Linked DNA regions of Saccharomyces cerevisiae S288C. The gene in region 2 interacts genetically with the main gene of each other region. Each region holds a gene or a part of one and is shown on either strand. Other genes may lie near its edges.

Region 1 (7,920 bases), on a different chromosome or scaffold from region 2:
TACCACCAGCGTTGTTGTAGGTGTAACGTCCACTACCTGGATACATGATTGTAAATCTAGTCGGTCTTCTTTGGTGGTAGTTTAGATAAACTTCGAGGCTCATCTTCATATTTTTGGCTCCTATTAATGCGAAGCCATGCTTTTTCAATAGTTGTTATTACCCGGACGCTTTTCTCGAAGCAGTTATTTGAAAAGCACTTGTAGTAATCAAATATATGTATATGACTCGATGGGCATTAAGTATCCAGTTTTGTCAGTTATGTGGATTTTAAGGAGAACTGTTAAGCCACAATAATGTATAGACGATCTGTTGGAGTACTATTTGTTGGGAGAAATACAAGATGGATTTCGTCCACTATTAGGTGTGGAACGAGCGCAACTCGGCCAATAAGATCCAATGCATTGAATACTGATTCAGATAACGCTAGCGTTAGGGTACCAGTTGGAAATTCAACTGAGGTTGAAAATGCAACCAGTCAGTTAACAGGGACTTCGGGAAAAAGACGCAAGGGGAACAGAAAAAGAATTACAGAGTTCAAAGATGCTCTTAATTTGGGTCCATCTTTTGCAGATTTTGTTTCAGGTAAAGCTTCGAAAATGATCTTGGACCCTCTGGAGAAGGCAAGGCAAAATACAGAGGAAGCTAAAAAACTACCTCGTTGGCTTAAGGTTCCTATTCCTAAGGGTACCAATTACCATAAATTGAAAGGCGACGTAAAAGAATTAGGCCTGAGTACTGTTTGTGAGGAGGCAAGATGTCCCAATATTGGTGAATGTTGGGGAGGCAAAGATAAATCTAAGGCAACGGCAACAATTATGCTGCTTGGTGATACTTGCACTCGTGGATGTAGGTTTTGTTCTGTGAAGACCAATAGAACGCCTAGTAAGCCGGACCCAATGGAGCCCGAAAATACTGCCGAAGCTATCAAAAGATGGGGGTTGGGTTATGTTGTTTTAACTACCGTTGATAGGGACGATTTAGTCGATGGTGGTGCTAATCACCTGGCCGAGACGGTTCGCAAAATCAAACAGAAGGCACCAAATACTCTTGTAGAGACTCTTTCTGGTGATTTCAGAGGTGATTTGAAGATGGTGGACATTATGGCACAATGTGGGCTTGATGTTTACGCACATAATTTGGAAACAGTTGAATCACTAACACCACATGTCAGAGACAGAAGAGCTACTTATAGACAGTCTTTGAGTGTTTTAGAAAGGGCAAAAGCTACGGTTCCGTCACTGATTACTAAAACATCAATAATGCTGGGTCTAGGAGAAACTGATGAGCAAATTACTCAAACTTTGAAGGATTTGCGCAATATTCAATGTGATGTTGTTACATTTGGTCAATATATGAGGCCAACCAAGAGACATATGAAAGTCGTAGAATATGTGAAACCCGAAAAGTTTGACTACTGGAAAGAGAGAGCTTTAGAGATGGGATTCTTGTATTGTGCATCTGGACCCCTAGTAAGATCGTCATATAAGGCTGGTGAAGCATTTATTGAGAACGTTTTGAAGAAAAGAAACATGAAATAATGCACACTGAAATCTAATAGTTGGAAGAAAACAATTATGGCATGGACCGCAATGTCTTTGCTTGCTGGATTATTTATTTATATCTTGTATTTTATTTATTTTTATGGTTAGTATGTTTTTGCATATTTATTTTTAACACAGAAAAGTTAGGAAACAATATCAAATATTCGATACGAATTTGTATATTTACGGTATATCCTTAATATTTTATTCTCATGACATATTAAGGGAAAAGATAAAATGCAAAAGAAAAAAATGCGTTTATTTTTTTTCATTTTCTAACAACTTGAGTAACTCCTGCTTTTCTTCTCTTTCTGAAGACAGCTGCTTGTTCAATTGCTCGATTTCTTCTGACAGAGTTTTATTTTCTAAATTTAATTGATCAAACTTATTTTGGTACTTGTTTTCATAGCCTTTTTTCAACAGTTTGACCTTTTGTTCGTGTTTGGATGAATACTGGATATACAAATCTTCTGCTAATAACTTTAGCCTTTTATTTGTATCTTTTTCTTTGGCCTCATACTTTTCTTTCCAATCTTGTACTTGTTTTCCTAATGATTTAATTTTTTCATCATCTCTATCCTTTTGATCATTGCTTAAAGTAACGCTATTATTGTTATTATTATTTTGTTCCATTAATACTTCATTTTCTTTTGTTAATGTTGTTATCCTGTCGGATGAAATCTTCAATTCATTTTGAAGAGAAATAAGGTTTTCATGAAGATTTTCCAATTCTTTGATGTGCTCAGCCTGAATGTTACTATTTTTTAGTTGTAAGCTTTCTAATTCTAGCGAAGTTTTTTCGAATTTTTGTTTCTCCAGTTCACACTCATTTTCTAGTTTATGAACTTTGTTTTCTAGTTCCGTAATTGTTTCTTCCAAATGCAATTTTGATTCCTTTAGATCTTCAATATCTCCGTTCAACTCTGTAACTTCGGCATTGCGTATCTTAGCTTCGTCTTCGACAGTTTCGTATTTACTTTGCCACATCTTAAATTCATCATCTTTTGAAGTGATCTGTTTTTTTAGCTCGTCCATTTCACTATTCAATGAATCAATTTCAGCTTCTTTTAGTTTTAGCGTCTCCTCATTTTTAATTAATTTATCCTGTACTACCTTCAAATTATCGTCGTTCAGGTTATTCAAATCATCCATTTTTTGTTGCAAGTTGTTTTTTGTAGATATTAGCTCATTAATTTGTCCTATAAGGTCAGAGTCGTTGAAGTCCTTAGAAATCGATAAAGTTTCCTTCAAACTCAATTTTAAATTATCTAGTTCGTTCTCTTTAGATTTCAAAACAATATCTGTGCTTTCAATCTTATCATTCAGTTGCACAATGCGAGAATTCAAGTCATTTAACGTGGTCTCATATTCGGATAATTTATCATTATTGCCTTTCAATTCTGCTTTCATATTTTCCAGTTCTACATTTTTATCATTTAAAATTTTCTCATTTTGCTGCAAAGTGTTGACAGTATTTTCATGTTCGCCCTTTATATGATTTACTTCAGTAATTGAGGCATCGAATTTTTCTTGTAATATTTTTTGGTTGGAATTCAATACCTTAATTTCTGTATTCAACTCCTTAATCCTCTTTTTGAATTTTTCCACCTTGGCAATATCGCTCTCTCTTTCTGTATTTAGTTTATCTAACTTTTCATTTGTCAAATCTATTAGTAGTTGGTGATTTTTGTTCAATTTCTCGTATTGAAAAGACAATGATTCATTTTTGGAAATCAAAGAGTTTAACATTTGATTTAAGTGATATATCTGATCAGTGAGCTCCTCGTTTCTTTTTGCTACAATCTGAAAATTGTCATGTCTAATATCAAGTTGGTTGTCATCATCGTAGTCATTCCTCCCCTCTTCATTTGAGTTCGACTCCCTTGCAGAAGTCTCATACAAAGGAGTAAGCCTGTTTATATGAGAATTTGTTATATCATTTTCTTCGTCCTCCTTTTCCTTATAAGCATTGTCAATATTAACCACATTGTTACTGTTAGATTTTATGAAGTCTTCCTCTTGTTGTTTCTCATTTATATCATTTTCTAATTTAAGTGTGTCGGTATTGATATTGAAACTATCGTTTCTTTCAACTCCGTCGTTTATTATGAATTTATTTGGGCTTATGTTGGTCTCAATCATATCAATCGCCATTGGAGACGACATAATTTCTTCTTTGTCATTAATGATATCTTTAGTAGAGCTTTGTTTCAAATCAGGTACTGATTCTAACTGCAATTTCAATTTTTTATTAATATGGCTACCTTCTTTATCATTTTCATCTACGTCCACGTTTTTGTCGCTTCGTTTCTCTGAGGAGTTCATTTCAACTCTGATCGGTGAATAATTCAATGCAAGGACATGCTTATCACTAGTACTTGCGCCTCCTTTATCATCATTGGTACCTGAATCTGATTTTTTGTCATCAAACATTTTATTTATGTCTATATTCTCTAATGGATTGGCATTATTCTTGTTGTTAAGAGCTGATGACCTACCGTAATCAATCGAGCGGTCTAAATCCTGCTTCTCATCTTTCTCCTTCTCGAGCGGTTCATGAGGATGTATCACGAACTGGGAGGAACCAGGAGAGTTAAAGCTGGAATCCGGTTCGGAATTAAACGTGCGTGGGTTACGTTCTTGCGAACAGTTTTCTGAATTCTGCTCGCGTTGCTGAGCTTGCCCTAAAATAAGCCTAACTGGAGTGGTAGGAACTTCGTTCATGAATTACGATATGTGCTCAAAACCTTTTTTAACTGGGTGCCCCTTGACACCAATGATGCTCTTTTTAGTTAGTGTCCTTCAAATGAACCATTAAAGAGGAACTCATCGTACACTCTGAATTATAAATAAATAAATAAAGAATATAAATTAACGCGAAAAAAAGCTTCGTCAAGTATGATGTGAGACAGTTGAAGAAAAGATGAAGAAGCCAAATAACAAGGTGGATAAAGCCATACGGCATATTATCGGGGGCAAGCTCAAAGAAGAAAAGCGATAGTATCACACAAATCAAGGCCATACACAAGGGACATCGTTGGATATCATGTCGAATGCAGAGGCCAGCAGAGTGTACGAGATTATCGTAGAGTCTGTGGTAAATGAAGTAAGAGAGGACTTTGAAAATGCGGGTATCGATGAACAAACTTTACAAGACCTAAAAAATATTTGGCAAAAAAAGCTCACAGAGACGAAGGTAACTACTTTTTCATGGGACAATCAGTTCAATGAAGGAAATATCAATGGTGTACAGAACGACTTAAATTTCAATCTTGCTACCCCCGGCGTAAATTCTAGCGAGTTCAATATTAAGGAGGAGAATACCGGTAATGAAGGTCTAATTTTGCCAAATATCAATTCCAACAACAACATACCGCACTCTGGAGAGACCAATATTAATACGAATACGGTAGAAGCAACTAATAATTCAGGTGCTACCTTGAACACAAATACTAGTGGTAATACAAATGCGGACGTAACTAGCCAGCCTAAAATTGAAGTAAAACCGGAAATAGAACTTACTATTAATAATGCCAATATAACTACCGTCGAAAACATAGATGATGAAAGTGAGAAGAAAGACGACGAGGAAAAGGAGGAGGACGTGGAAAAAACCCGCAAGGAAAAGGAGCAGATAGAACAAGTAAAATTACAAGCGAAGAAGGAAAAAAGAAGTGCATTATTAGATACGGATGAGGTCGGTTCAGAACTAGATGATTCCGACGATGACTATCTAATTTCGGAGGGTGAAGAGGATGGGCCAGATGAGAACTTAATGCTGTGCTTATATGATAAAGTCACAAGAACAAAGGCGAGATGGAAATGTAGTCTGAAAGATGGTGTGGTGACCATCAATAGAAATGACTACACATTCCAAAAAGCTCAAGTGGAAGCGGAGTGGGTATAACTAAATCTTTAGACGTAAAGAAGAAAAAATGTATATATACAAGTACTATAATATCAAACTAAAAAAACGAAATAAAGAGGGATGCAACGAACTTGGTCATCTGTTGTCAAACAGCGCTTGTATGTTCATTAGCCGAAGTGACTTTGGCTCGGTTCCATAGCTTAAGGAGTTCAGTAACACCGGAACCTACTGAAATTATTTCGTAAGCTAGCTCTGAGTTATATTTGTCCCTTTTACCTTTAATATTAATTAGATTAGACAATAAGTTTAGTATTATCTTATAAAAATCCAATGTAATATTATTTTTCCGTAACTCCAAATTGACTTTGTCATTGGTAGGTAGTTTGTACTTTAACTCGTATTCCTTTATTGCATTACCACTGGTATTATAGATACTTAAATAAATTTCATCTCTTATTAGCTGTCGCCATTGTTCAATGTTTTTATTGATAGCAAGAATATTTAAAACTTCCCATAAGATATAGTGCTGTTCTTTGACGAATGTCATTAGTCTATTAGTATTTGCATGTGATGTGTTCTTTTTACCAAACATTGATTGTAGCTTATGGAACAGTATCAACTCATCTGTCAAATTATAAAAAGCTTCAATAATGTCGAAAAACCGGAAATTTTTAAAATAAAATAAAATTGATTGATCTTTATAATGTAGTTTTTTCATTTCTCTCAACCAGCGAAATCTTTTGATAATTTTATATAAATTGATCGCAAAGTTTCCGAATCTCAAATAGTACCGAAATAAACTCAATTGTTGAATCACCAATCGCAGTTTTGAGGAAAAATTTAGTAGTCGTATCTTTCTCGTCAATAGCAATAAACTTAATAGGCCTAGGGTATGTTGTAGTATTTTCGAACAAACTTCTTTACCTTCAAGCGTGTTAAAAACAAATTTTGCTTGGCAATTTTTCTTAACATAACGTTTTTTCATTTCAATAGAACCAAGTGTTCGCTTAAAGCTTCTGTCACTAGTTGTACTGGTTGCAGTAGCAACTTTTCCCTGATTCTGCGTAAAATCCGAATCATCATTATCCTGCAGAACAATTGGTTTCTTGGCGATTACTCCTTTGTTGTCTGTGAAATTACCTTCTTCTTTACTGTCAGTTTTCAGGTTGCTAAATAATGTGTTAAACTCTCTTTTCAAGAGCTCCCATGATTCGTCTGCATTTCTGTCCGTTAAAGTGGGGCTACTTATATTCGTATTAACAGGATCGGATGTCATGATAAAACGATTGTCCAAGTTAACACAAAGGTCATAGTCTACCTTCAAATCCTATCATCCTACTTTTCTCCAAAACTTTTTTTTTTATAAATAACATTTCATTCTATGTATTAACAATAATAGTCAGACTGACAAGGAAATTAAGAAAAATAAAGGATCAAAGGTAAAAAAATTAGCGCCGCTCGGTTTCGATCCGAGGACATCAGGGTTATGAGCCCTGCGCGCTTCCACTGCGCCACGGCGCTGCTAATTCTTGCAATGCCTCTCTGAGGAGAGACTTTGATATCAAAGAATTAAGGGACCATAAACTTAAAATTCTCATCTTGGAATGTGAATCTGTTGATAATTAGAGGTAAAAAATAGTATTAATGAAGAAATAATTACTGATCTTCTTATACTAAATAAGAGAGGTATATAAAACTGTTGGAATAAAAATCAACTATCATCTACTAACTAGTATTTACGTTACTAGTATATTATCATATACGGTGTTAGAAGATGACGCAAATGATGAGAAATAGTCATCTAAATTAGTGGAAGCTGAAACGCAAGGATTGATAATGTAATAGGATCAATGAATATTAACATATAAAATGATGATAATAATATTTATAGAATTGTGTAGAATTGCAGATTCCCTTTCATGGATTCCTAAATCCTTGAGGAGAACTTCTAGTACATTCTACATACCTAATATTATTGCCTTATTAAAAATGGAATCCCAACAATTATCTCAAAATTCACCCACTTTTCATGGTAGCGCCTATGCTTCGGTTACTTCTAAGGAAGTCCCATCAAATCAAGATCCGTTAGCCGTTTCAGCTTCCAATTTACCGGAATTTGATAGAGATTCCACTAAGGTTAATTCTCAACAAGAGACAACACCTGGGACATCAGCTGTTCCAGAGAACCATCATCATGTCTCTCCTCAACCTGCTTCAGTACCACCTCCACAGAATGGACAGTACCAACAGCACGGCATGATGACCCCAAACAAAGCTATGGCTTCTAACTGGGCACATTACCAACAACCATCTATGATGACGTGTTCACATTATCAAACGTCACCTGCGTATTATCAACCGGACCCACACTATCCGCTGCCACAGTATATCCCACCGCTGAGTACTTCCTCACCTGATCCAATCGGTTCACAGGATCAACACTCTGAAGTACCTCAAGCTAAGACAAAGGTGAGAAATAATGTCTTACCACCACACACTTTAACATCAGA
Region 2 (7,176 bases):
ATCGTAGTCGACTGTCAATTTATCAATTCCAAGAGGATCGTCACCAGCCGAAGCCGACTCTCTGGAATGACTTGAGTTGTCTTGCATTCTAAATAAGGCCAACTAACCTAGTTGAATATACTGCTAATGAATGCTAAAATACACAAATTTCATGTAAAAAAACCCCGCGAATTTTGTGTTATGGTTAAAAAATAACTGTAACTGAAATTACCCAAATTGGAGAAAACTTGTTAAGTCCTTATTTTAGCTACTGTGGATGGCTCCCTCTGTGGAAATAGCAGCAATTTTGGCCATTTACCATGTTCTAGAAAACGGCTAAAAAACAAATAATGACCCCGAATATTTTAAATCGCAAAACCTAAAATAACCTGCTATTTAACTCAATAACCTATGACAGATTAGCAAAAAGCCCTAAAATTTATAACTTAAAACCTAATGGTATTTTTAAAGGGGTGAATATTGCGCATAACCATTTCAAGTTAAAAACCCTTATATCATTATATAAAAAATATCTTAATAAAGAAGCAATTTGGGACAAGTCACTACTTCAAGTATAACCCAGACAAGAGTCTTTTAAAATGCCACAAAGAATTGAGCTTACCTCCGAACCAGTCAGAAAACCGCGGTCTACTGAGAGCTCACTACTCAGAAAGATACAAAGAGCGTGTAGATCCACATTGCCTGAACCAGATTTGGGCTTGAACTTAGATGTAGCTGACTATATCAACTCAAAGCAAGGAGCAACCCCTAGAGAGGCTGTGTTAGCAATTGAAAAATTGGTCAATAATGGGGACACGCAAGCAGCTGTTTTTGCACTTTCACTACTAGACGTGCTGGTAAAAAATTGTGGTTACTCTATACATTTGCAAATCTCCAGGAAGGAATTCTTAAATGATCTAGTGAAAAGATTTCCAGAGCAACCACCATTGAGATATTCCAAGGTGCAACAAATGATTCTTGAAGCCATCGAGGAATGGTACCAAACCATCTGCAAACATGCCAGCTACAAAGATGATCTTCAATATATCAACGACATGCATAAATTACTGAAATACAAGGGTTATACTTTCCCAAAAGTTGGGAGTGAAAACTTGGCGGTGTTGAGACCGAATGACCAACTGAGGACACCTAGTGAGCTACAGGAAGAACAGGAAAGAGCTCAAGCTGCAAAACTAGAAGAGCTGCTAAGAAGCGGCAAGCCCGATGATTTGAAAGAAGCTAATAAACTGATGAAAATTATGGCGGGATTTAAGGATGACACTAAAGTAGCAGTCAAACAAGCAATTAACAATGAACTAAATAAACTCAAAAGAAAAGCTGATTTATTCAACGAAATGTTGACTTCAGCCGATGAGCCTGATCTTGAAAATGAAGCTATTCAAGAATTGTATGGCGACTTAAAATCAGCGCAGCCGAAATTCAAAAAGCTTATTGAGGAAGAACGCGATGACGATGCGCTTGTTAGTAATCTATCAAAATTTAACGATCTAGTGATCCAATTGTTAAAAAGGTACAAGTCAATAAAAGGTATGAAGGAAGAAGAACTAAATGTCCCCGATACGAATGAACCGGCAAAAGAGCTTAATTTGATAGATTTTGATGACGATACAACAGCAAACACTCCATCTGTGACATCTCCAAGCAAATCTTTGCAACCTTTTGACGATCTTTTAGGGGATTTTAATAAGGTAAGTTTATCATCCCCAAAGTCTCCTCAAGAAAACGACACTGTTGTTGATATACTTGGTGACGCTCACTCAAAGTCATCTGGTATAGATTTATTAGATTTTGATTCGCAACCTGGAGAAAGTAAAACCGCTCTGTCCGCATATTCTAACTCGATTGTTCTACCTAATGGTTTACTAAATAGTTCAAGTAACTCCAAGGAAATCACAGCTCAATCGCAAAGACATATACTTAACCAATCGGATCACTTACGCATTGATTACGAATTAACTCGTGAGTCGATGACAAAACTACGATTAGTTATCTTCTATTCAAACATAAGCAGTGATCCAATAACTAATTTTGCACTTTTAGTGGCATCACCTAAAGGCACGACATTGTCTCTGCAACCGCAATCGGGCAATATGCTCCAAAGTAACTCCAGAGATGGTATCAAACAGATTGCTTCCGTAGAGGGTATATCTGTTAATTTAGGTAAGCCCATAAAATTGAAATGGAAGGCTAATTACTGCACCAAGGGTGATTCGAAGGAAGAATCGGGCACGACCAGTTTGCCCACAATATAATCAAATTCGGTAGAGAAGTTGAAAAAAAAGTAGATGCCATATTATATTACAGAGAACAGAGTGTTACGCCAACATACTAAACCAGAGAAGTAAAACGTTTTACTTATATATAATAGTATTCGTAAATTTATAAAAATCAAAAAACCAATATAAGCCTGGTTAAAAAAAAAAAAAGATCAGTATCGTAAAGTCGTAAAGTTAGGTCATTGTTTTTGGAACCTTTGTAAAATCTCCTGTGGAGTTGGTGACTTTATCCTTGGAGCAGAATTAATGTTAGAAATATTGGAAAGAGAAGATTGAGATGGAGATGATTTCGGTGGCGGAGCTTGAGACCCTGGTTGTAGTTGCTGCAGTTGCTGCACATGACTGGACTCCTCCTGTAACTGCTGCCTTTGCTGTTGAATCTGGTGCTGCTTTAGCTGTTGCTGTTGTTCTCTCAAGGTTCTATAATAGTTTTTTGCCGCCTTAAGGGCCATCTCAGGACCAATGTCTGGTTTTTGCTCCAACAACTTCCTCGAGTAACTTTCAATGATATCTTGCTCAGTATACTGTTTCTGGTTTGGTCTTGGAGCCGACGCTTGCCCATTTCTAGCCAAATTTGAAGAAGATTTGCCATTTGAAGGTATTGGACTTTGAGCTCGGGATGAATGTGCCTGCTGACTTTGCTGTTGCCTCTGTTGTAATCTATTTTTCACTGTTCTTCTCAATTGTATATCCCTTCTCAATGCCTCATCTCTTTGGGCTTTCAAAAGCGACATTTCTGCTGGGGTAGGGACCTTCATGTTTTTACAATCTAACGGTTTCCTTGGCTGGGTTGGATTGGGACGCGGCGTATTTTCTCTTTTTTTCATACATTTTCTAATCGCCTCAAACATGCTCGCCCAACGGAGTCTCCTATGACCTCTTTGTATGGATTCTGTATTTACACCTAAAGGCGATATTCTTCTATTCTGTCTCTGCTGAAATTTATGGGCTTCAATCAACCACTGTTGAGCACTATGTGCTCTGGGACCCTTGAGGTCACTAAAATTGAATCGTTCATTTAATTGTACAAAACGCTCAAAACACTGCCATGGCGTTCTACGTTCAATATTCGATAAATAAGAATATGTGAGGCGATGTGTCATATGTGCACTAATCAATTCCCAATTGTAGCCATATGTGTTAATATTTTTGACCAGTTCCTGATCGTCCTCAGACAGCCATATAGTCGGTGTTCTATTTTGAAGATAGCGTAATGAAGGTACTGCTGGTGGTCTTAAATAATGATTTCTTCTATTACCATAGAACATACCCCGCCTTTTGCTCAATTGTGATATTGATGGTTCTTCGTCAATCAATTGACGCTCAAGTAACTTATAAAATCCATTATCATCCAGTGACACTACCGATTTGGAAATTGGAATAAATGGTAAAGAATCATCTTTTTTTGGCCGTTCTTCATTAATACCATTATACAGCGGTAAATCCTGTATTAATGTTTTTTCAAAAGTATTGAGTTCGTCAACAAAGATTGAAAGTTTAAATGGGGGGGCTAGCTCTTTCTTTGATTCTTCGGTTTCGATCAACGCTGATGATGCAGCTACTTCATGTTGTATTAAAACAACTTCGCTTGAGGAGGATGGCTTTTTTAGAAGTAACTTGGTGTCAATAGAAGATATAATTTGATCGTGGGCACCTTCTTGAGATAACAAACCATCTGCAAAATCAAAATCACTCTTAGCTCCTGCTTCATTCTTTCCATTCTCATCATTATCGTTAGCAGCAGCACTTTCTTTTTCAGTAATATCGTCAACGTTCGCAATAATTCCAATGTCATCCTTACCGGCTATGCTAATATCGGAATCATTTCTTGAAGTATCCGATGGTCTACCGGACTTTTCAGATATGCGCCCGTCGTCAGATAATTTATTTTCCTTACCAGGTAGAAGTGTTTTACGTTTTACACAGCATATTTCCCCATAGGTCCAGTAGTCCTTGATTGCCTGTGCCATTGCTGTGCAGATAGCTACTTTATATTTGTGGCCCTCTTTAAAATCTGCTTGCATCCATTTAGCTTCTTCTAAAAGTATGTTTTGATGCGTATTGTGTTGTTTCCACGGATCGATGAATCTTTTAGGTTGTCTTAAAGACCATAATCCAAGTCTTCTTAGTTCTTCTATTCGCGAGCCAACAACAGTAATTCTGGCCTCGTTTAAGGCGTTGTTTATAATATTAGTGGTCAAAGCCTTGTGAGCTCTCGGTATTAGATTAATAAGAGGCAGAGTTTGTGACATGTACTTCAATTCTGCTAAGGGCAAAGCCTGGGGTATTTTCGATGGTATATAATCGTTCATTAATAAAAATACGGTCTCTAATGCGTCAACATTGTTCTCGTTATAATGGTCTGATGTATCTATCTCTTTCGCCATAATGTTCTTTATCAACGGATCCTTGAATTTTACTGCAGGTTGCACCTCAGTGGGATCTGCTGGTGGGTACTCGATGTTCTCATAATAAGTGTAGTGTGCTAATGCATTAGGCACTGGGGGACGCGGCGAAATAGGTAATGAAGCCATTTCCGAATTATTAGAAGATTCCAATGACTGAGATTGCATCTTCTGTCTTTTTTCATGTCGCTCTTCTTCACCTCCCATAGTTGACTCAAGTGGCCTTTTGTTCCACATACCTCCTGTCTTTTCAGCTGGCCTCAAAGAATCCATCATATTTTCACGGATTGAATTATCGTGGCTTGGAACAAAATGACTCTCTGATTTGACTGATACATTTTCGCTATTTTCTGGCAGTTCCCTACTCATTTTAGAATCGGATAGCCTCTGGTTAGGTACATTTATTAAATTTACATCCTTCAATTTCTTTTTTGTTATGGGAGTCGCAGCTGTATGTAGGAGCTTCGGCAGTGACGCCTCGTCAAACCTTATACCCCTTCGTATATCGTTTTTCTTTAAAAATGCATCTATTTCCTTCCGAAGTTTGTTTTCATCTGTTAACTCTAGCAGCTGGTTCAAGCGGGATACGCAGTATAGTTCGGTCAGTTTTCTATCTCTTTCATCAATTAAGTCATCTGCCTTAGGAAATTTACTTCTATCACTGCTCTGGTCCTCACTGAGTGATGCTGAATTAGGCACTGCTGAACTTGGACGTGAGGACATCTTTGAGGCGGAAACTGTACTTTTGATTATGATGTCTCTAAATAATCTTTATATTCTATCTGTTCGGCGGCTAACGCCTACGGGTAATAGCCGGCCTTTGAAAATTTCGCGGCTGCAGCAAGTACGCAAAAATCCTTATCCCTTCTAACGGTTCGAAAGGGGGAAGAACCAGAAATTTTGTAGTTACGCCGCAAATACCTGTATGCCCCGGCTCAAAATGCTCAACACTTATATGCTGACTATGTTCTATAAGGCTCAGGGTGAATGACCTTTCTTGAATTACAATCTGATTTCACTTTGCACAATATATACTATGTATTTTTATTGGAGCACACGACATTAAAAAGATGATCGCCCAGAAAAATTTTCAGCGGTGGCGGATTAATTTTTACTGTCCTCGGCAGCCCAAAATTATCCGTGTAGGATGACATAAAGGCTCAATGGCCGCTGCTGCTTCGTCTGTTAATAATATACAAATTGCACTAACTGTGCAGGGCAGTGATCGCAACTATTTACTTTTCGTAAAATTACCAAGTGGAAATTTCTGTTTCCAATTCATCGATACTTTTGACAAGGCCTTCGTGATCAAGAATCATGTATGAGCTGATAACACCCTTTTTAGCTTCTGATTCGAAGTGAATCTTGGCATATTTTTCAAAAAATCGGTCCTCCTCATGAAAGTAGTCTACTTCATCGGCCTTCACCCTTTTTTTGGATCTTTCGTCTTTGTTTTTATTCCTCTTACCAGAGTCGGTATCATCGTCAGTGTCAAAATTTACTTCATACTTCCTGGTGACGATGATATAGAAGTCATAATGTTTGTCATCGCCAAGTGCCGTGGCAACATCCTCCAACGTAATCTTGTATAAAGGTGGAACGACTTCCGGTGGCATATTAATCAGCCTTTCACTGAGAACCAAAGCACAATTTTTATTACCACTATCAATCATAGTTTTGAAGAAAGTGGAAAGTCTCATGTCCACTTTTTGTAAATATTTGACATAATCACTTAGATGATTAGCTTTGAAATCAACGAATGAAAGAAAACAGTATGGATCAGATTCTTTGCCGTCTGTTTTAATTGTGGTGGTTGGGGAACCTAGGATCAAATCTGCCAAGCTGCTTAGTTGAATCCTGGTACTTTCTTGAGGACCAAATAACTGACGCAGTAAATTCTTTAAAGCATGAAAATCAACTTCTGGGTTACCACCGAAAAAATCGAAGTCAATATTTACGATCTCTTCTTCTCCATTTTGCTCTTCTTCATTTTCTGAATCGGTGCTACTAATGTCAATTTCAGACTCGTCACTGCCATTTTCTTCCTCCACATTTTTTCTCTTCCTATTTTTTAAATCATTTAATTTGATAGCTTGAACCATATTTGTGAGTTAATTAGCAATCCTATGAAAATGTGGGCCTCATGAACAATCTAAATGATAAAATTATAAGGACATAATAGATAATATATTGACAACTCTTTTTCAGATATTTTTTCTACCTCAATCTCATCGCGAGGAATATAGGCACGGAAAGAGAAACTCGTATAAAGTGACCACGGATATCGAGAATTTGATAATTTACCCTTAACTGAAGTTATGGCACAATATCTGTATAAATTTTAATACATAATTTGCGGCAGGAATAACTGCAACAATACTCAAAGTTATTAGTGCTAGCCAGGCGATATTTTACATTAGGCTATTTTATTCCTTTTTCATTTCAATAAAAAAAGATAGTTTTTTTCGTCAACAATAGTTCAATGTCACAAATTG

Evidence for each region.
Region 1: mutations in EAF1 (region 2) and SLK19 are lethal when combined (synthetic lethality), as found in Saccharomyces cerevisiae (3 studies listed by BioGRID, with this or other methods).

Annotation. Positions count from the first base shown.
Region 1 is NC_001147.6:709,212-717,131, reverse strand, and holds SLK19 (Slk19p), read right to left. Parts: upstream 4,267-7,920; coding exon 1,801-4,266; downstream 1-1,800. Other genes in the region: Ca(2+)-dependent cysteine protease MCA1, read right to left, coding at 1-46; LIP5 (lipoate synthase), read left to right, coding at 295-1,539; TOA1 (transcription initiation factor IIA large subunit), read left to right, coding at 4,589-5,449; PEX27 (Pex27p), read right to left, coding at 5,556-6,686; YOR192C-A (gag protein), read left to right, coding at 7,400-7,920. UniProt on the Saccharomyces cerevisiae protein: Has a role in spindle assembly and stability. Required to ensure a timely exit form mitosis. Essential to maintain pre-anaphase spindle polarity. Associates to the plus ends of the microtubules at the kinetochore and spindle midzone.
Region 2 is NC_001136.10:1,189,481-1,196,656, forward strand, and holds EAF1 (Eaf1p), read right to left. Parts: upstream 5,405-7,176; coding exon 2,456-5,404; downstream 1-2,455. Other genes in the region: CNL1 (Cnl1p), read right to left, coding at 1-87; GGA1 (ubiquitin-binding protein), read left to right, coding at 579-2,252; protein-transporting protein BCP1, read right to left, coding at 5,932-6,783. UniProt on the Saccharomyces cerevisiae protein: Component of the NuA4 histone acetyltransferase complex which is involved in transcriptional activation of selected genes principally by acetylation of nucleosomal histone H4 and H2A. The NuA4 complex is also involved in DNA repair.